Linked DNA regions of Tamandua tetradactyla. The protein of the gene in region 1 interacts with the protein of each later gene in a pairwise test. Links are inferred from orthologs where the notes say so. Each region holds a gene or a part of one and is shown on either strand. Other genes may lie near its edges.

The links. The genes of interacting proteins can lie anywhere in the genome.
Region 2: the proteins of PSMC5 (region 1) and NR1I3 interact in a two-hybrid assay, tested with the Homo sapiens proteins (2 studies listed by BioGRID). The link is inferred for Tamandua tetradactyla from reciprocal best matches to the Homo sapiens genes PSMC5 and NR1I3.

Annotation. Positions count from the first base shown.
Region 1 is NC_135332.1:4,993,006-5,003,520, forward strand, and holds the start of PSMC5 (26S proteasome regulatory subunit 8), read left to right. Parts: upstream 1-6,309; 5' UTR 6,310-6,435; intron 6,436-6,551; 5' UTR 6,552-6,625; coding exon 6,626-6,655; intron 6,656-7,216; coding exon 7,217-7,288; intron 7,289-8,590; coding exon 8,591-8,660; intron 8,661-8,980; coding exon 8,981-9,078; intron 9,079-9,258; coding exon 9,259-9,315; intron 9,316-9,394; coding exon 9,395-9,625; intron 9,626-9,883; coding exon 9,884-10,010; intron 10,011-10,099; coding exon 10,100-10,290; intron 10,291-10,380; coding exon 10,381-10,479; intron 10,480-10,515. Other genes in the region: pre-rRNA 2'-O-ribose RNA methyltransferase FTSJ3, read right to left, coding at 836-971, 1,105-1,248, 1,340-1,420, 1,641-1,741, 1,828-1,932, 2,046-2,161, 4,337-4,531, 4,624-4,723 and 4 more.
Region 2 is NC_135330.1:14,357,836-14,367,363, reverse strand, and holds the start of NR1I3 (nuclear receptor subfamily 1 group I member 3), read left to right. Parts: upstream 1-4,995; 5' UTR 4,996-5,200; intron 5,201-5,354; 5' UTR 5,355-5,386; coding exon 5,387-5,493; intron 5,494-5,978; coding exon 5,979-6,109; intron 6,110-7,286; coding exon 7,287-7,456; intron 7,457-7,675; coding exon 7,676-7,815; intron 7,816-7,991; coding exon 7,992-8,137; intron 8,138-8,232; coding exon 8,233-8,349; intron 8,350-8,520; exon of another isoform or gene 8,521-8,526; coding exon 8,527-8,632; exon of another isoform or gene 8,633-9,487; coding exon 9,488-9,528. UniProt on the Homo sapiens protein: Binds and transactivates the retinoic acid response elements that control expression of the retinoic acid receptor beta 2 and alcohol dehydrogenase 3 genes.

The DNA of each region.
Region 1 (10,515 bases):
AACACCTGAGAATATAATCTACAAATTTTGTTTCCACCAAATAAAGGAACCCAGGCAGCATACATCTAACAAGAAGCATTGATTGTTTCACATATAAATCAATTGTCAGAACCTCTAAATCTATTTTCCCTATGGCAAAAATAACTACCATTTATTGAGTGTTTACCACAGATTAGGTGTTATACTGAAACATCTTTTTCTATTTCTCACAAAAGTCCTAGGAGATAGGTTCTATTTGTTTTACAGATGAGGAAACTGAGGCAAAGGGATAGGCTGCTCAGAGTCACTGGCTCCAACTAGTGGAGCTGGGATTGAAACCTGAGCCTATGTCTGCAGGCCAGTACTCTATTGCCTCTCTTGTCAACAGATTACTGGGATATTAATTACATTTCTACACAACTGCCACAATAGCTCATTTTGCTTGTGACACTGCTTTTACCTGGCAGAAAGCAGTGTCTGGTAGCCTAGTGTACCAAGGCAGTTATTTGATCTCCAGAACTGAAGGGCATTTTCTCTTTAAGGAAAACCCTCCACTTACACTCATGCTTGTAGTCCAAGTACCCTGGCTACATCTGTTATATCCTCAATTTCTTGCAAAGAGTACCTCATAGTTCCACAAGAATAATTCTATATCATACTCCTAAGTCTTCCTAATTTCAAATTTTAGATGTATGTTCCTTCCTGGTCTTTGAAACATAGGCTCCTATTTATTTCTATCTCCCACTTGCCAATAACATGACCTCTGACCACTGAGCCACACTTCAACACATCCAGTGCCCTCCTAAATCCAAGCACCCAAACAGATCCTTCTGTCTCCTCAGTCTATACACCCCACCTGGTGACCTCTGATGGTACGCAAGGAGAACATGCCAGTTTCTCCTTCATCTGCAATGGAAACCCCAGGCAGATCCATCTTCAGCTCCACACGCTCCCGTTGTTTTCTCTGCTCCCGCAACAGCTTCTTTTTCTTCCTGAGGAGATGGGGTTGTAGGGATTAAACCTTTACTGTGCCCAGCTGTGAGGATTCCCTACCCATGCCCTTCACTCTCTTCCATCTTCACACACTGAGGATCTCTGTGGTAGGGTTCCTCCAGCTCCTCTCACCTCTTCAGCTCTGCCACTTCCTGTGCTTTCATCTCTGCCAGGGTCCAGTTCAGCTGTTCCTCCTCCTCCTCCTCCTTGGAGGGCTGCCTTGTGGTCCCTGCTTTTGACTCCTCTTCACCTTCTTCCTCTTCTCCTGAGCTGAGGCTGACAAAACAGTACAAGAAGTTTGGTTATTTTCTCAGATGCTTTCCCTGATGCCCAATCAGCACCTGCCCTGGTTGAGTTCCCAACTCACCTAATGTCCAGGGCCTTGGCTTGCTCTTTCAGCTTCTTGGCCACGTATCGACGAAGCTTTGTTCTCCAATTCAGCAGAGATCTGCCCCCAAAATGCTATTATTGATCTTACCATTTTCCTTTGTCCCTGCTCCCTCTTCTGTTTTAGGCCCAAACACCAAATTCCAGTCTTGAGTCACGTAAATCCCAGAGCTCAGACATACCCTGCCCCCAAACCTCTGCACAATACAACATCATGGCCTTCAAAGGTCTTTTCCTGCCCTCAGGGCTCCTGACACCTTATACCCATCCCTACCCCATACCTGAGCTCCTTGCGCCCTAGCACTTTGATGTCCTGACAGCATGCCCGTATATCCTCATTGGTAGCTGGGTGCTGGGCTAATTCTTCATCATCTAGCAAGATCTATTTGGGAGAAAGGAAAGGAGTCAGAGGAGATTCTTGGACCATATTTGTGGGGTTCCTTTATAGTCATCAATTCTTAGACTCACTTCGCTGGTCTTAGAGAGGAAGTCAACAGGGTTGGCAACTCGGAGGAAGTCTGTGACTGATGAACAGTGATAGAGAGTGAGGTCACCGTCAGCATAGCCTTCAGCCTTATGGAGAGAAATAAAGATGAGCAGCCACTTCTGGGGTATCAGGAGGACCCACCAGGGCCAACTTTCCCAGAATTCTAGGACCCAAGGGTGGCCCCATACCACAAACACACCTTTGGTTTCTTCTTAGTCACCAACTCAGTAACAGTCTTAGCCTGAACTTCAACCTCCTTGAAGGCAAATTTCGGGTCAAAGAATTTACTGTCAACCTTGTCAGGAGCTAGGAATCCTAAGATAGCAAGATATTTTTAAAAGTATGCTTTGGTTATGTCCCATCCCATCAAGATGCCACAGTGAGACACTTCAGGACTCTGTCCCCCAACAGAATCTTTAAACAACCAGCAAGAACTGGCACAAACATCTTTCTCAAAGACCCAGAAAACAGTTCAAGGACTATACTAACAGTGAGAGGCTACTTAAAAGTGGTAGGATCTTGAGGCATCCTGGCTGGTCCCTCCCCAACCCCGTGTGGATTCCTGGTCCTGGTTCCAGAGGGAGCAAGTAACTCTCATGCACATATTGGGATCACGTGTACATGGCCCAATCTGTCTGGTGATGGCCTGAGGGACTTGTAGTCTCAGAATTTGCCCTGAGTGTAGAAGCTCACAGAGCTCTCCTACAGAATGCTGTGGGAGAGCAGGCAAGTGGCTGCCTGGGGCAATGGACTGCTGCCTGTAGGACATACAGTAAGTGCTCAGAACCATGAAGAAACTGTTTCCTAGAGAACAAAGAATTTAATCCATGTAAACAGAGGAATTCTGAGGGTCACATGTGCATGCCCAAGACAAGATGCATATGCAGAAAGGATTAGGGAGACCCCCAATGCTTTAGCCTGGTGCTATTCTCTAAACTCACTGCATAAACACTTAAGAAGAGCACTTGCACAGGTAAATCTGTAAAGATTGGGAAGATGTTTCTTTTTCTCCCCACTCTTCTTATGTTAGCTCCCAGTATTCAAGGAAGGTTTTATCAACACTAGCTGGATACAGGTTTAAGGAACAAACTCAGTCTAAATTCTGATTAACACATTAAAATACCAAAATGTCCAGGTTTTAACCAAAGATTATAAAACCTACAAAGAAATAGGAAGTGACAGCCCATGCAAAGGAAAAAATTAAAATATAAGAAACCATCAATAAAGACCACCTCTGGGATATACCAAATAAAGACTAACAAAATGATCCTAAATATGCTCAAAGAGCTAAAGGAAAAAAAGTAGTAAAGGAAATCAGAAAAATGACAGATGAACACAGAGTATGAACAGAGAAAGGGAAATTTGGTAAAGGAACCAAACAAAGCTAAAGACCATAGTAACAGAAATAAAAAATTCCCTAGAGGGGTTCAATATCACATTGGAGCTGGGAGAAGAAAGAATGAACTTGAAGATATGAAAATTCAAATCATGCAGACTGAGGAGCAGAAAGAAGAATGAAGAAAAGCGAGCAAAGCCTGAGGAACTGAGAGACCATCAAGTGTACCAATATACATATTGCAGGAGTCCCAGGAAGAAAAAAGGCAGAGAACGTTCAAAGAAATAATGGCAGAAAACTTCTCAAATTAACAAAAGACATGAATATATTCATCCAAGACACCCAATGAACTTCAAACAGGATAAACCCAAACAGACCCACGATGCAGCTTATTCTGATCAAGTTGCTGAATACCAAAGATGAGAGAATTCTGAAAACCACAAGAGAAGAGCAACAAGTCACATACAAGGGAGCCTCAATGAGACTGAATGTGTATTTCTCATCAGAAACCATGAAGGCAAGAAAGTAACAGAATAACATTTTAAAGGTCTGAAAGCAAAAAAACTGCCAACTAAGAATCCCATATCTAACAAAACTGTCTACCAGAAATGAAAGATTAAGACATTTCCAGATAAACAAAAGCTGAAGGAGTTTAGTACCATCAGACCAACCTGACAAGAGATGCTAAAGAGAGGTCTGCAGATTGAAAGGAAAGGACAGAAGACAATAGATCAAAACCACAAGAATAAATAAATATTCTCTGGTAAGGAAAATGACAAGGGTAAATATAAATATCACTATGATTGTATTTCGTGCTTCTAACTCCATTTTTAACTTCCTATAGGATCTAAAAGGCAAATGTATGAGAAATCAGTGGTTTGGGACTCATAATGAGTTATGTGCATAATTTGTAATGACAACTACATAAAGGTGGGGGGATGGAGGGGTACAGGAACATAGTTCACCTATTCTATGGATCTGAGTAACTTGGGGGATAGGAATATGTTGAAGGTTCCCCCATGGGTTTGTATTATTTTTATAACTGTTGTGTAAGTTTGAAAACATTTCAAAATAAAAAAATTTTAAATTAAGAAAAAGAGTATGCTTTGGTAGTTGAGAGACTGAATCAAGGCAAAGAAGAAAGTGGTGCCTACCCTGGCAAAACACAAAGATCTCTGCAGATTCATGGCGAGAGGCTTGAGGCTTGGTGGCCTGGACACGGCGAAACAGCTGTTGGAAAATCCATAGTAGGGGCTGATAGTCACGAGAGCGGAAAACCTTTGTGATGAAGCAGCCACCACGGGCCAGAAAATCACAAGCCAAACGCAGAGCCATGAGTGTCAAATGGGCTGTGGGATAAAGACAGTCAGTTCGGGACTTCTGTAGCCTGAGAGGACATGCCCACCTCCGCCCTCACCCTCATCTCTCCCTCCCCAGGTACCTTGTGAGTAAGCATCATGGACCCAACTAGCCCCAACATTGGGTGCCCCATCATTGAGCACAACATCCACCTTCCAGGTCTTTAGCTCTTTCCTCAGGGCCTACAGAGAAGTAAAACGATTATGGCAGCAGAAACAAAGGAGTCCCTAGGAATGGAGTCCCTGGGTCAGTCATCTCCCTACTCATTTGTTGAATGCCTGCCATGAGCCAAATCTTGTTCTAGGTGCGGGGTAGACCATGGTGAACAAAAATAATGTTCCTGACTTCATGGAGCTTAAAGTCCAATAGTGGAGTTCACCAGAAAGAACTTCACTGAAGATCTCTGTCCTGTCCTCAGGTCCCAAAGACCTCATTCCCTACTCCCAAACAGAGGACAGAATAGACACTAGAAACATCACATCACGGTGCCACTGCTCAGGGCACAATATCCAGAAAAATCTTGCTTCAGTGGATTTGAGTGAGAAGAGGAAGTAACACGGATGTCTACATATAAAGGAACAAGAAGAGAGGGATTCTTATTACCTGTCGACAGCGTTCTGTTGTGATGTCCTCCTGGAGTGTCACCACACTGGGGAGAGGCTTGATTGGAACCAGGTCCACACCTGGAAGAAATCAGGTCAAAGTATTCCAAAGGGCTGCCCCGAAAAGGGAGGAAGGAAGAGTACAGAGATAATATCTCACATTCCCACCCCTTAAAACACCCAAGAGAGCCACCTGTCACTCACCCACAATAAGGCTGGACACAGGCATAAACTTGGAAGCCACCTGCAGCCTATAAAAGAGAAACAGCATTTTTAAATACCCAATGTGATCTGTCACCGCTAGTGGAGGGAGCCCTTATCAAGTGCAGTGGCCAGAGTCTGTCAAAGGTACACATTCCCAGCCTCTTCTCTGCAATCAAAAAAAAAAAAAAAAAAAAAAGACCACCAATGTTTAGGAGAAATCTATGCTCAGAGATAAGAAGTTTGAGGCTGGGATTATTGTATATAGAGAGAAGAATGCAGGAAGCATCCCAAATTCATCCCTCCCCCAACGCAACTCCCAATCTAAACCACCCAGGACTAAAAACCCGAAAAACACTATCAAGCGCGACCCGTGAAGGGTGTTATACGCACCATCCTCCTGGCGCGGCACACAGGTCCAGCAAGGCTCGAGCTTTCTGGAGGAACTGGAAGCGGCGATTGAGTTGGATTAGCTTGAAAGCAGAGCGGGAGCGATAACCTGAGAAGCGGCGACAAAACAATGAAGTCTATGCAGGGTTTTATGAGATATTTCTCCGCAGCCTCACGACACACGACCGTCAGCGGAAGAGGAATCTAATATTCGGGAAAGGGGAGCGGAAAGACCCAAGATTGTATGTTCGCTAACTGCAGCGCGAACTCTGACTCACCGGTCTCCTTCGCCAAGTGATAGAACTTATCCCGCCGACTCTTCCCAACTTTGCCCTTCTTGCCCATGGTGAGATACTCGAGTGTCACTCAATCTGGAGAGAAAGTGCGACAAGTTGGGAACGTCTCCTCCCAAGCAATATATTACACTTTCGGTGCCTTACTTTCTCAAACAATCACACGCCGCATGCTGCTCCACCTCACTCACCAGGATCTTGCGTCGTTTCCGCCACATTTAGGAACCGCGAGCCGCAAACGTACTTCCGCTTCCGCTTGTGCCCCTTACGTCCCCGGTTCCAAGTTTTCCACCATTTTGAGAGTGGCCATAACTTTGTTCTATACACGGTCCACAAGTTTTATAAATTGAAAGTTAGGACCAGGAGGGTGAACTAAAAACGGAGCTTCTAGAAAACAACATTTGGGAGGTCTGTCCCATCCTTGTCTCCTTCCAAAACTCCCGACTCGAGAAATTATAGCATCCCGGCCCCTGTTACCCTTCTGCACACCCCGCCCATTGACCCGGAACTCTTCTTTGTACCAGCCCTCGGTCTTGTCCAAGCCGCTGCTTGTGCGCTTGCGCACCAAGATTCCTATGCCCGCGGCCTCCTCTGAAGAATGAAAATGGCGCTTGATGGGCCAGAGCAGGTATGTTGATGTCGGCGGGTCAGAAACCCAGGCTGGGTGGAGAGCGGGCGTGAACCGAGATGGGTATCAGGCCGGGGCAAGATGGTTAGGGTGAACAGGTGGGCCAATACAGACTGGGCCTTGCCTGGGACCGATTCTGCTATGTCAGCGCCGCCCCCGGTGAATGAGGGCAGGGCCATGAGAGGAAGACTCGGTGGGAATAAGTGAGAGGAGTGATGGGAGTGCATCGGGACCAGCCGCGAGTTGCAAGTAGGTTGGGGACAGAGCACCCGTCCTTCCTGCCCTCTCCGCTTGTAACACCTCGGGTTTGTATGGCGATCGACGCTTTACAAAGCTTTCAATGTATACCGTTTCTTGAGCCTCCTGCTTTCATTTTATTTTAGTCATGTGAAAATGGGGTGGGGGGTTGCAGAGGGGTTCAGAAGGGATTAGAATCCAAATCTTATGCTCCAGTGTCCAAGCTCTTTTTTACCGCATAAAGCTGCCTGTTATTTATGCCTTGTGGTTTTTAATCATTTGGATGCTTAGCCTGTTGTTGTTTAATAATTATGGTGTCTTCAGATGGAGCTGGAAGAGGGGAAGGCAGGCAGTGGACTCCGCCAATATTATCTGTCCAAGATTGAAGAACTTCAGGTGAGGACGGATTCCACAGGGAGTTGGGAGGGGAATGATTGCTTGAAACCCATTTCTGCAAATCCATGAATTCCATCCCAGGGTGCAGTGGAAGAGTCTTATTCCTTTCCTTTTCTTGTTTCTTTTTAGTTTTTTGAGAGAGGTGTACATTTAAGAAGAACTAATGCACTGATAAGTTGAGTAGCTTGAAATACTAGTGGTCAGTGAGAGGGAGGGGTAAAGGGTATGGCATGTATGAGTTTTTTTTTTTTAATTTCTTTTGCTGGAGAGATGCAGATGTTCAAAAAAAATGATCATGGTGATGAATACACAACTATGTGATGATATTGTGAGCCATTGATTGTAACCATGTCAAGAATGTTTGTGTGTTTGTTATTTACAATAAAAATATTTTTTTTAAAAAGTACTAAGCCAACAATATAAAGTATATGAAATTGATGATCTCTTGTTCTCTTGAAGTCCCACCCCTTTGAGGGTAGTCAGTATTCACAATTTGTTATACATCTTCAGGAGTCAAACTGAAAGAGGGCTAAATGAGAGAATTTCTTATAGAAGGCAAGATAGAGGTCCAGGAGATGAGTCTTACCAGAGTTTGGAGCAGGTGAAATTAGTGTGAGGGAAAACAGCATTGTGGGCTCTGGACAATGCTTATTTTATGGGACTGAATAAAAAGGAATTGACCACCCAGGGCTGTTGCCTTAAGAGGGGGCAGGGACCATAGAAATAAGAAAAGTATATAAATTAGATGGGGGAGAAGCCACATGGAAAATTTCGGGACTCAAGGTACATTTGCAGGTATTATATTTTGTGTATCATTTTGAAAATGCTATTATATATTTCATTTGTTCTTCACCATAGTTCTAAAAAGCAGCAGAGTATGTGATGCTATACTATGTATCTGGAAACAGATCTTTTAAGTAGCATGCCCTAGCTTTACCTAGCTGGCAGTGGTCAGGCTACAACTCCAGTTTCTGGCTTAAAAGCTAGAAATCTTTCCACCACACCATGTTGCCTCCCCCAGAATTCACTACATGAACCAGCTCTAACTTTTCTTCATTAGGGTCTATTATTTCTGGACCAGTATTGGACAAATAGCCTTTTTTGATAGCTGCCCCATAGTCCAGAGGGATTCTTGGAGGACAGAACAGGGTCATTAGAATATTAGAGAATCTGAATAACGTATAGGTTCCCTGTGCCCTTCCCTCACTCAGCTCATACCTACTTATGAAGGGTTTTGGTCAAGCTCTACCTTGCTAACTTCTGCCCTTGGGTAATGCAATATCTGTCTCTTGTCCTCTATAGCTGATTGTAAATGACAAGAGTCAGAACCTCCGGCGGCTGCAGGCACAGAGGAATGAGTTAAATGCAAAAGGTGAGGGGGGAAAGATGGGAGGGCTGCATGTGGGCAGTGGCTAAGGTTTGACTGTTCCTGGTCTCTGAACTGTCTCTGTTCCCGTCTGTCTGAACAGCAGTGCTTATTGTTTTCTCCCAATCCAAGGTAATGTTTTGCATTGTCTTCATGTAGCTGTTTCACATGCACATTACTTTCCTGAGCTATAACCCCTTAAAGATAAGTATTGTTGAGGGTTTTTTGTGATCTTCCCTTCAGAATTTCAAAATGTTCATGCTTGAATTGAATATGGGTGAAAGAATACCATTGTAAGTGACCATTATGTCTGTTTTCCTACCTAGTTCGTCTGTTGCGGGAAGAGCTTCAGCTGTTGCAGGAACAGGGCTCTTATGTGGGGGAAGTTGTCCGGGCCATGGATAAGAAGAAAGTGTTGGTTAAGGTAAAGGTGATATGACCCTGGGGACCAGCCTCAATTGCTCATTGCATCCCTGCCCCTTTGTGTGAATTCTTGAAAGGATCGTGTTCTGTCATGTTACTGTAGGACTCTCATGGGTCTTCCTGGGTAGGGTTGCTAATTTGGAGGCTTTCAGGGAAGGTCATGAACACTTGTTTCTTTTAGGTACATCCCGAGGGCAAGTTTGTTGTAGATGTGGACAAGAATATTGACATCAATGACGTGAGTAAGGCAGGTAGTGGGGATAAGGGTCAGCTCCCACTGGACCACTTCCTGAAACTATTTTGCTCCCCTTGCCCAGGTGACACCCAATTGCCGGGTGGCTCTAAGGAATGACAGCTATACTTTGCACAAGATTCTGCCCAACAAGGTAGACCCATTGGTATCATTGATGATGGTGGAGAAGGTGCCAGATTCAACTTATGAGATGATTGGTGGATTGGACAAGCAGATCAAGGAAATCAAAGAAGTGATAGAGCTGCCTGTTAAGCATCCTGAGCTCTTTGAAGCCTTGGGCATTGCACAACCCAAGGTGAGGACAGGGCTTCTTTGAGAAGGCCGTGCTGTGCTGTATCACTCCCACCCTAGGCCAACCCCTCTCCACTGGAGAGGCTGGGGGTGTGATGTTTCCAGGGCTCTAGGGTGATTTGGATTTAAGCTCCAGAAGGGACCTTGACATTCAGTTTTTGTATCCCTAGTCTCTAGCATGCCACAGTGGGCATTCAGCAGATGTTCATTGGATGAAATGAGGAGGCTGGCTTATATTCTGAGTCCCCTTATATCCCTCTAGGGAGTGCTGCTGTATGGACCCCCAGGCACAGGGAAGACACTGTTGGCCCGGGCTGTGGCTCATCATACGGACTGTACCTTTATCCGTGTCTCTGGCTCTGAATTGGTACAGAAATTCATTGGGGAAGGTAACAGTGGCTAGGAACATGAGAACCAAGTGGAAGCGAGGGAGGCAAAGGTCCCATCAGTTCTTAACACCAGCTTGGCCTCTGCACAGGGGCAAGAATGGTGAGGGAGCTCTTTGTGATGGCTCGAGAACATGCTCCATCCATCATCTTCATGGATGAAATTGACTCCATTGGCTCTTCACGGCTGGAAGGGGGTTCTGGAGGGGACAGTGAGGTACAGCGCACAATGCTGGAGCTTCTCAACCAGCTGGATGGCTTTGAGGCCACCAAGAATATCAAAGTAAGTACTCTGAATGAAAGGAAGGCCCTGGCTGACTTGCAAGTTGAAGAAGAGCTTGGCTGATGCTCTCCCCACCCCCTCTCTGCTCAGGTTATCATGGCTACTAATAGGATTGATATCCTAGACTCAGCACTGCTTCGTCCAGGGCGCATCGACAGAAAAATTGAATTCCCACCCCCCAATGAAGAGGTTTGTGATGGGTGATGCTGGGAGTGGCTCTGGCTC
Region 2 (9,528 bases), on another chromosome or scaffold:
AGGTAAGAAGGGTGTGGAAGTGGGAGATGGCAATTTCAACCAGACAAAACAAGGGCAGATGCTCAGAGGCGAACAAGCTCAGCTTGTTCAGGGAACTCTAAATGCTTAAGCACCTCTAGAGCTACAATGTTATGTGTTAGGTCAGGGGCGGGGAGTGGGAGGAGAATAGACGAGAGTGATTAATAGAGGCCACATCACAAAGGACTTTGTGTGACATGCTAAAGAGATTGGTTTTTATACTGAAGGTGACGGGAAGCAAATGAAGAATTTTAAGCAGGGGAGAGACACAATCAAATTTGCATTTTAGAAATAGCAATAGCATGAAGGATAAGTTGTTAAGAGATGAGGCTGGGAATTGGGAGGATAATTTAATAGGCTACAGCAGTAATAAGAGGAAAATGATGAGAGCCTAAATGAAGCTAAGAAGTAAGGGGCACGTAGAGGTAGAAATGACAGGTCATGACACTGGCATTTTTAGGGAATGAGGGAGAGAAAGGCAACCAGGTGATTTCCCAGCTTTTGGCGTGGCAACTGAGAGAGGGTGGCAGTAGAGGGGAAGAAAACAAAAGAGTAAGGGGTTGAACATGTATTGACTTCCTTTTACATTACAGGCACTATGTAAGGAATTTTACATATATTACTTCATCTGATCTTCACAATAAGCCTGGAGGGTGGATGTTATCAATATCAACCTTCATTCCAAGATAAGAAGTTCAGAGAGCATCACCCCACCAGGCCTCGAACACTGGAGAAGTTTTTCAGATCCTGGCCTAAGACTGGCATGTTGGAGGACTGTGAGGATGTCAGTTAACCCTGGAAACCTGTCATCGTGGAGCAGATCCCTGGCTCAGTCTGCTCCACGGTAGGGACCTTGAGACTGGGGGAGCATTTCTGTACATAGAACAGCAAGCTCAGAAAGGTATGCCCCCCAGGCAAATCCATTTCAAGAGAATTTCAAGATGGACTTCTCTAAGAATAATGAGGCTCTGCCCTGAGCCAGAGCAGCTGTCTTCCAGACTGGACCTCACCTAAGATTCCACGATGACATCAGAAAAGGAAGTCTGCCTCCTTTCCCAGGTCTGGAGCTGGCCCAGCCTGGTGGTAGCTGACTCCCAGGGTCTCATGGTCTCAGCTGTTTCAAACAAGTAGGGAAGGAGTAAAAATGTGATTCAACTAGCAAAAGCCAGAGCCAGAATTTGAACCTAAGTCCGTATGACTTGAACCTAAGCCCATGCTCTTTCCACTTCCTCATACTGGGCTAGTTATCAAATTAGGTAATATAAGAAAAGTTTGTTCGGAGGGTAGGGTGGTTATTGACAGTGAATTCCTTTTTAGACATATTGAATATCAAATGCCTACATGACATCCAAGTGGGTCTAATAAATTTTGGGATATAATGATCCTTGTGCAAGTTGTTAAATTTCTCTGAGCCTCAGTTTTATCATCTGAAAAATGATATTACCTATCTTATAAGTTAATATAGGTATGTATTCTTACACAGTACTCTCCATGGATCGGGCATTCAGTAATATTAAATGAATGAATCAATTAATAACTATAATATTATACATAATCTTTGCATACAATTTAGAGTTTGATTATATACTTTCTTGCAAGATCCAGGAGTTCAATTTATTTCTGCAGTCTCCATAATTAGACTGCGCCTCTGTAATAGTACACTGTCTTTTATCCCTCCCCATAGTGCCTAACTACACAGTGACACTTAATAACTTATTGCTAGAGTAAATTGATGATGGTGGAAGTGTATTGGGGCCCTAGTATAAAGGACCCTTGTCTTCCTCCTGTAGTCTCTCTTTCATTTGGTAGTACCACCACCTACTCAATCACCCAAGCTAGAAACCTGGATCATCTTAACTCTTTCCCCATACTCCTCAGCCCAGACATTCTGTAATCACCAAGTTTCAATGATTTCACCTCCCATGTATTCTTAAAACACTCTCCTCCCCTACATCCTACAATTTTTTCGGCTCAGGCTTAATCTTCTCTCACCTACATCAAGGTAATAGCTTTCTAATTGGTCTCTTTGTCTTCAGTCCTGCCCCCTCATGTACATCATCCAAACAGCCAGCAGAGTGAGCTATCTAGAACACAGATCTGAGCATATAACTTTACAGTTTAAGACCTTTAAAGAGCTTTCTGATTGTGATCATTTGAATCATGCATGCCAACTAAAGCCATGCTCTTAATCTGCATTCCTGTGGGTGTGAACCCATTTGTAAATAGGACGTTTCGAAGATATTTGCATTATTTAAGGAATGGCCAAACTGAGTGAGAGTAGTGGGTCTTAATCTGTATTACTGGAGACCTTATTGAGAGAGGAAATTTGGGATCAGTGAGAGAAGATGGAACTCAGAGAAAGCCACAGGAAGAGCCCAAAGACCTCTTCATGTGACAGAGGCAGAAGAACAAATCAAGGAACCCCAAAGTTTGCAGTAAGCCATCACCATAATGCTTCAGACTTCAGGGAGAAAACATCGCCTTGCAGACATCTTGACTTGAGACTTAGGTACTCTAAAACCATGAGTCAATAAATTCTTATTGTTTAAGCCAACCCATTGTGTGGTATTTGTCACAGCATCCCTGGCATACTAAGACACTAAGTATCATGGTCAGGTTCATGTGTCAACTTGGCCAAGTGGTGGTACCTGTTTGCCTGGCTGGGCAGTGCTGGCCTGTCTGTTGCAATGAGGACATTTCATAGAATTAGATCATGATCACGTCAGCTGTATCCACAGCTGATTCCATTTGTAATCAGCCAAGGGGAGTGTCTTCTGCAGTGAGTGATGCTCAATCTAATCACCAGGAGCCTTTTAAGGAGGATTCAAAAGAGACAGGCTCTCTTCCTGCTTTGGCTGGCGAGCCTCTCCTGTGGAGTTCGTCCAGACCCTCCATCTGAATCGTCAGCTTCACAGCCTGCCCTGCGGATTTTGGATTCTGCGTTCCCGCCGTCACGTGAGACACTTTTATAAATTTTATATTTGCAAGTGTTCCCTGTTGATTCTGTTTCTCTAGAGAACCCTAACTAATACACTAAGACACTAAGCTCTTAGCCTGACACATAAAATCTTCCACGATCTGAACCTCATATTCCATCTCTATAGCCGTATCTCTTTGTACCCCCAGCCTGAGATGTTATGTTCAGTAAGAGAGGACTATTTATGGTTCAACCCTATTCACTATTTTGTCTCTGGCTTTTTTTAACTTCTCAGGTTGTACCCTCTGCCTGGACTGCCTTACATCTTCATCTGGCTAACTCTTAATTATCCTTTAAAAATTAGTTCAGTTATCAATCCTCCAGGAAGCCTCCCCTGTCCCTCCTCAACACCCCTTTGCCAAAGCAGGATTAGGCAAAGAGGGACTACTCCTCTGTAGTCCCATAGTGCTCTGTGCCATCATTAATCTGACTACATTTCTTTATGCCTGCTTAAAGGTCTGCTGCCCCCACTAGCATTTCAATTCCTTGCGTGTAGAAGAGCATCTTCTTCTTTGTATTCCTATTTCTAACACATAGTAGGTTCTCAGTCATTATTTGTTGATTGAATCAAATTCTCTCAGTCACACTCAAGCAGCTACTAACAGATGCACACACGTAAATATATTCATCAACTCCCAAGCAATCAAATCCAAGCACCTGTGCCCTCTGGAACTCAGCTTCTTTTAAAATGCAAATTTATGCACAGTGGATGCTGTACCACTTGGAACTAAGGGGTTCATCAACTCATTCCGGCGACGTGAACCTTTTGAAAGCAGTCTCTCTCTCTCTCTCTCTCTCTCTCTCTCTCTCTCTCCTTCTCCGCCTATCTGTAAGTGTGTGTGCACACGAGTGTGTGGATGACTCCAGCCTGCACTTGGCGTTTTTAACTCATCTTTACAGCCTCATTAATTATAACTTAAATCAACTGAGGAAGCAAAAGGCATGATAAAAGGAATATTAGAAAAATGCTTATTTCCAGCAGCTGGAGACTGTGCAGTGTGGGAACAGCAAATACCTAGGGAGATGTGCAGTGAGAAGGACCTTTCAAATGGGAAAACTGAGATTTTGGACTTGATTCCAGGGTAGGTGGGATCAGATTTGTGATGGGAAAACGTGCTGCTTCCTTTACCTACTTGATTCGACATTTATTTCCGAAACACGAAGACCATCCCCAAAACATCCAAATGCCTTTTGAAATTACTTCTATTCACAGATGTTGGGACGGTATGCATGCGCATGCGTGTATCATACCTACAATATAACACACGCACGCATAGGTATACTTTACACTTGCAAACATATTCTGCAGTACCAGTGGAACACTGGACTCCTGTTTATGATTTTCTTCTTTTCTGATTCTTAAATTTATTAATTAGAAGTTCATGAGTCCTTCATCTTGGGTAAAAGCTAAATAATTTTTTGAACCCAGTGCAAAATGAAAATGTTCAAAAATTATTGCGAATTTCAGGATGGCAACAGCACAGCATTAAACAAGCGCAGGGTCCCTCTGAGAGTAGCCTTTGTGCTACTCTATGGGTCACATGTCCGAGAAGCCAGCTCAGATTCAAGAGTCCTCAAATCAACCCCAACTACCCCTAAATGATTAGAGGCCACTCTTATTTAATTCTCAGACCTCCCTAGTTAAGAAATGGGACTCTTTCTAGCTCTTTGCATAGACTTTTAGTTGGACTCTGGTTTCTTTTTAAAAACTTTCTTTTTGGGAGCTTTGTGGAATTGTTACTACTGTTCTTTAACTACTGACTCGTGAATAAGAGTGCGCTGCCTCCCTCTCCCCAGATTGCCCAAGAACCTCATAAAAAGCAAGCTGAAGATTTGGGCCTGAAGCTCAGAAGTACGGAAAATCTACATGGATCTGATAAGGAGCAGTTTATAATGAGCCATGAACTCCCCACTATGCATCCCCCACCCTGGGTCCCTCCCCATGTGCCAGGGAAAAGCACCATGGGCATGCTGGGAAAACCTTTGCCCTGGGTCCAGAGTCTGCGCCCCACTTAGGTAGTCACTGAGAGCTACTGGAGGCCACATACAACAGAAGTCCCTTGTTTTTCAGGTACTGAGAGCCACAATCCCTGACTCCAAGCGATGGCAGCTCCTGAGATGAGAGGGAAATCAGAGGAAGCGTGAGAGTTTGGGGAGACACCCAATCCTGTGGCGTGCAGGTGGCATGCTGCCTAAGAGGGGCAGGTAGGAAATCTGCTGAGGACCAGACACCAAAGCCAAAGTACCAGTAATACTGGAGGGACAGGGCCAGGGAAGGGTTGGGGAAACGCTCTGCAGAATAGAATAAAGAGGGTTAAGGGTGGCCCAGAGCTGACTGTTAATCCCTCTCACATTCAAGGGTCTGTAAAGGTGACCCCAACACCTGATGCCATGGCCAGTGGGGAAGATGAGCCGAGGGACTGTGTGGTATGTGGGGACCGAGCCACAGGCTACCACTTCCATGCCCTGACTTGTGAGGGCTGCAAGGGTTTCTTCAGGTGAGAGCCTCTTTCCCAACAGAAACAACCCCCCAAATTGCCTGTCAGTCAGCCTTGAAGCCCCGGCACATGCCCAAGCTTGTCTAGCTGCGTTACTCCTGCATCTGAGAGCCCACCTACCCAGGGGCTAGCATGCCACGTCACACCAATCCAACGCTGTATAACCAGGTGGCATGATAAGAGAGAAGGCTGAACGTTTGTCTTACAGGCACACCAAATCAGTCAAGAATACTTAGTATGTGCCCACTACCTGCAAATCATGGAGCTAAGTGCTAGGCTTTCCTGAGTAATCCTGTGGTCCCATGGAAATGCTTGAGATGTGCCATACCCTATCCACCTCTGGGGACTTGTGGACACAGCCCAGACTAGCCCACCTTACCAGAGATCCCCAGGACTTTTAGACCATCTCCTCTCAGCCTCTGATGTACCCAGCCACCTGGTGACTGCCATCCCTGTCCCTAACAATGTTTCTTTCTCTTTCACAGACGAACAGTCAACAAAAGCACTGGTCTTACCTGTCCCTTTGCTGGAAGCTGTAAGGTCAGCAAGACCCAGCGGCGCCATTGCCCAGCCTGCAGGATGCAGAAGTGCCTGGATGCTGGCATGAGGAAGGACAGTGAGTTGGCGCCTTACCATCCCGTGAATCCACAGACTCTGTCTCTGTTTGTCCTTGCTCCTTATAGCATGTGGTCTACATAACAGCCAGGGCAGGGGGTGGGGGGGTGGGGGTGGGTACATGGGGAGAATAAGCTTTATAGAAAACAAAGTCATATTATGTCACTCTTCTGCTCATAACCTTCAGTAATCCTCCATCTTTCTTAGCGTATATGATCTCATGATCTCCGTAGTCCAGCTGCCCCACCCGGCCTCTCAGATTTTATTTCCCACTCTATTCGCCTTGCTCAGTCCATTCCAGCCACAATAACTTCACTGTCATCCTCAAATGCACCACGCACACTCTCCCCAGGATTTTCGCACTTACTATTTCTCCTCTACCTGGGATGCTCATACCCCAGATACTTATGGGGCTTGCTTTTTCCTTTCTACCTTCTGAATGGAGTGCCTGTTACCTAGCAGGTATTCAGTAGTTGTTGAATTATTTAATGCTTTCCTTGTGTTGGGCAGCTATTCTGTGCTTCCAACAGATGATGTAAGTGGAGATTTTACTCCAGTTACGTGCCCAAGATCATTCAGCTAAAAAGTTGCAGAGCTAGGATTCAAACTCAACTCTGTCTGACTCCCAAGTTCTGCTTTTTTCCATGACATCACACTATTTTTTGATATGGAGCAAAGGAAAAGAAGCTGTAGAAGTTGAAAAAGATCTTGGTTTGAACTTAACATATATCACTTGAATATTTTGTGACTTGGACCTATCCCAGGAATCTTTCCCTGTTTTACTTCTCTGAAAAAATATGGATATTAATACCTGTCCTATCTCCCCATAGGGTTATTTAATCCAGTGAGATTTAACCTAAGAATCTTTGAAATTATAGTACTATGCAAACATAAGGTGTTTAGGTTTCATGCCCCATCCCCCATCATAGATCCCCCAGGAGCCACAATTCCTTATACTTTGCCCACTCTGCTGCCCACCCTCCCCTCCTCTTCCATGGTGTTTCCTGCTGTGGTGCCAGTGTGCAGGGATCCCCTACCACTTGGAGCCTCTAGGCTTCAGCAAGAGCCAGGAAAGTCTCAGCCCCCTCCCTGCTTCATTGCGCCAGACCAAGGGCTGGCAGAGATAGGTGCTCTGTGCTGATTTCAATAGCTTCGTCCTGTATTTTGCCTGGACACAGTGATCCTGTCGGCAGAAGCCCTGGCACAGCGGCGAGCAAAGCGGGCCCAGCGGCGGGCCCAGCAAGCACCCATGCAGCTGAGCAAGGAGCAGGAAGAGCTGATCCAGACATTCCTGAAGGCCCACACGCGTCACGTGGGCACCATGTTTGAGCAGTTCGTAAAGTTTGGGGTAAGCACGTGGAGGATCTGGGCAGGAGAATTACCAAAAGGGTGCCCGAGGAGGCTGGCCTAGGGGAGGGGGCTCTGTCCCAGGCACCAATGGACAGGATTTCTCTAGTACCCAGCCTGGACAGGTTCTTCAGCCCAGAACCCTTCCAAGGCAAGGCTGGAGAGACCTAAAGGTGAGTCCTGGTGTCAGGGCCTCTCACTTTCGCTCTGACCTCTGCAGCCTCCAGCTCATTTGTTCATTCAACACCAGCCTTTGCCGACCCTAGCCCCCGTGCTACCTCTGCTCACACATTTTGCAGACATCAACACTTTCATGGTGCAGCAAGTAATCAAGTTCACCAAGGATCTGCCCTTTTTCCGGTGAGTGACTCACCATCACCTTTCAGGAACCAAATACTCCAGTAAACCCCTCAGCCTTTCTAAGTACCAAAACTCAACCCCCAACTTTGGTTTTAAGTGCCTCAGTCAGGCCTGGGAGTTCCTCTCCTCTGAAGTCCAGGCTGGTCTGAGGTGCCCTTGTACCCTGTTCCCCACAGGTCCCTGCCCATGGAGGACCAGATCTCCCTTCTCAAGGGAGCAGCTGTGGAAATCTGTCACATCGCACTCAATACCACTTTCTGTCTTCGAACACAAAACTTCCTCTGTGGGCCTCTTCGCTATACGATAGAAGACGCAGCCCATGGTGAGATGGCACTGGAGCTGCAGAGGGCACGTGGCCATGCGGTCTGGTATGTGGTGAGGTGACCAGGTGGATCCTAAACCTAGTATCTCCCGCAGTGGGATTCCAGGTAGAGTTTTTGGAGCTGCTCTTTCGCTTCCACGGGACACTGCGGCGACTGCAGCTCCAGGAGCCTGAGTATGTGCTCATGGCTGCCGTGGCCCTTTTCTCTCCTGGTGAGCATCCCCCAAAGCCCAGAAGCTTTTGCTTCACCACCTCTGCCCAAACTCCCAGATCCTAGAACCCATCTCCCCCAGGCTTCTTCAATCCAAGCTTAGCCTCCCTGGGGCACCGTGCAGGCCTGCCCCCGCCCCCGCCCCCAAACTTGCCTAACTCAGCTCCCCATCCTACAGACCGGCCTGGGATTACCCAGAGAGAGGAGATTGATCAGCTGCAAGAGGAGATGGCACTGACTCTGCAAGACTACATCAGGGGCCAGCAGCCCAGGCCCCGGGCTCGGTATGGTGGGAGGCTGAGAGACTGGAGGTCTCAAAGTTCTCAGGATGAATGCTTTGTACTTTCCTTTCCTTTGAGAAACCAGGTCCCCTGGGGGTCCAGTCATTCTCTCTGGTCATTCCCATCCCACACAGTTCCAGCATCCACATTGCTCCTGCTGCTGTTTCATCTCATTTTTTCCAGATTTCTTTATTCAGTAGAGATGCAAAGTATGTAGCTCACAGGCCCTGAATAGCAGCATTCCTGAGATTGAGGACATCCCCCAACTTGCCAACCCAACTTCTGACTACAGCAGGCTTACCGGAGTACTATTCATTCCCTTTCCTTAGCCCTCCCCCTCCTCTCCATTGACCCAATTCCTTTAATTTTTCATTGCCTGTGAAGTTACGGTCATTCACAGTTTCACAGTCCTGGCTCAAGAGTCCATGCTCTATCTAGGCTCTGAGGTCCACTCCACTTCCTTCTTGCTTAGTCCTCAATGAGCCAGTTTGGCCAGGAGAGGGATTCTTTATATAATAGAAGACACCCACCATCTAGAACCTGCTCTAGAATCTCAGACCCTCAGATTCCACACGGTTGAAGTTCTGGCCAAATCTAGGCTTTTTCACACTTGGCCCTCAGAGCCCTGGATTTGGGGGGAAATGAGCATGGCGAGAAAAGACAGTGTCACACAGGGGCCCCCTTGAGGACCTTTGGAACCTTTGATCAATTTGTTATCCAGAACATGATTTTCTCTGGTGTTCAGACCTCGCTTCACTAAGGGGGGGGGCAGTTCAGGTGACCAGGGCCTCAGGACAAGACTACCAGCGGACTTATTTCTCCGCTCTTTCTCTGGTAACCCCGCTGTTTCCTCCGAAGGTTTCTGTATGCGAAGCTGCTGGGCCTGTTGGCTGAGCTCC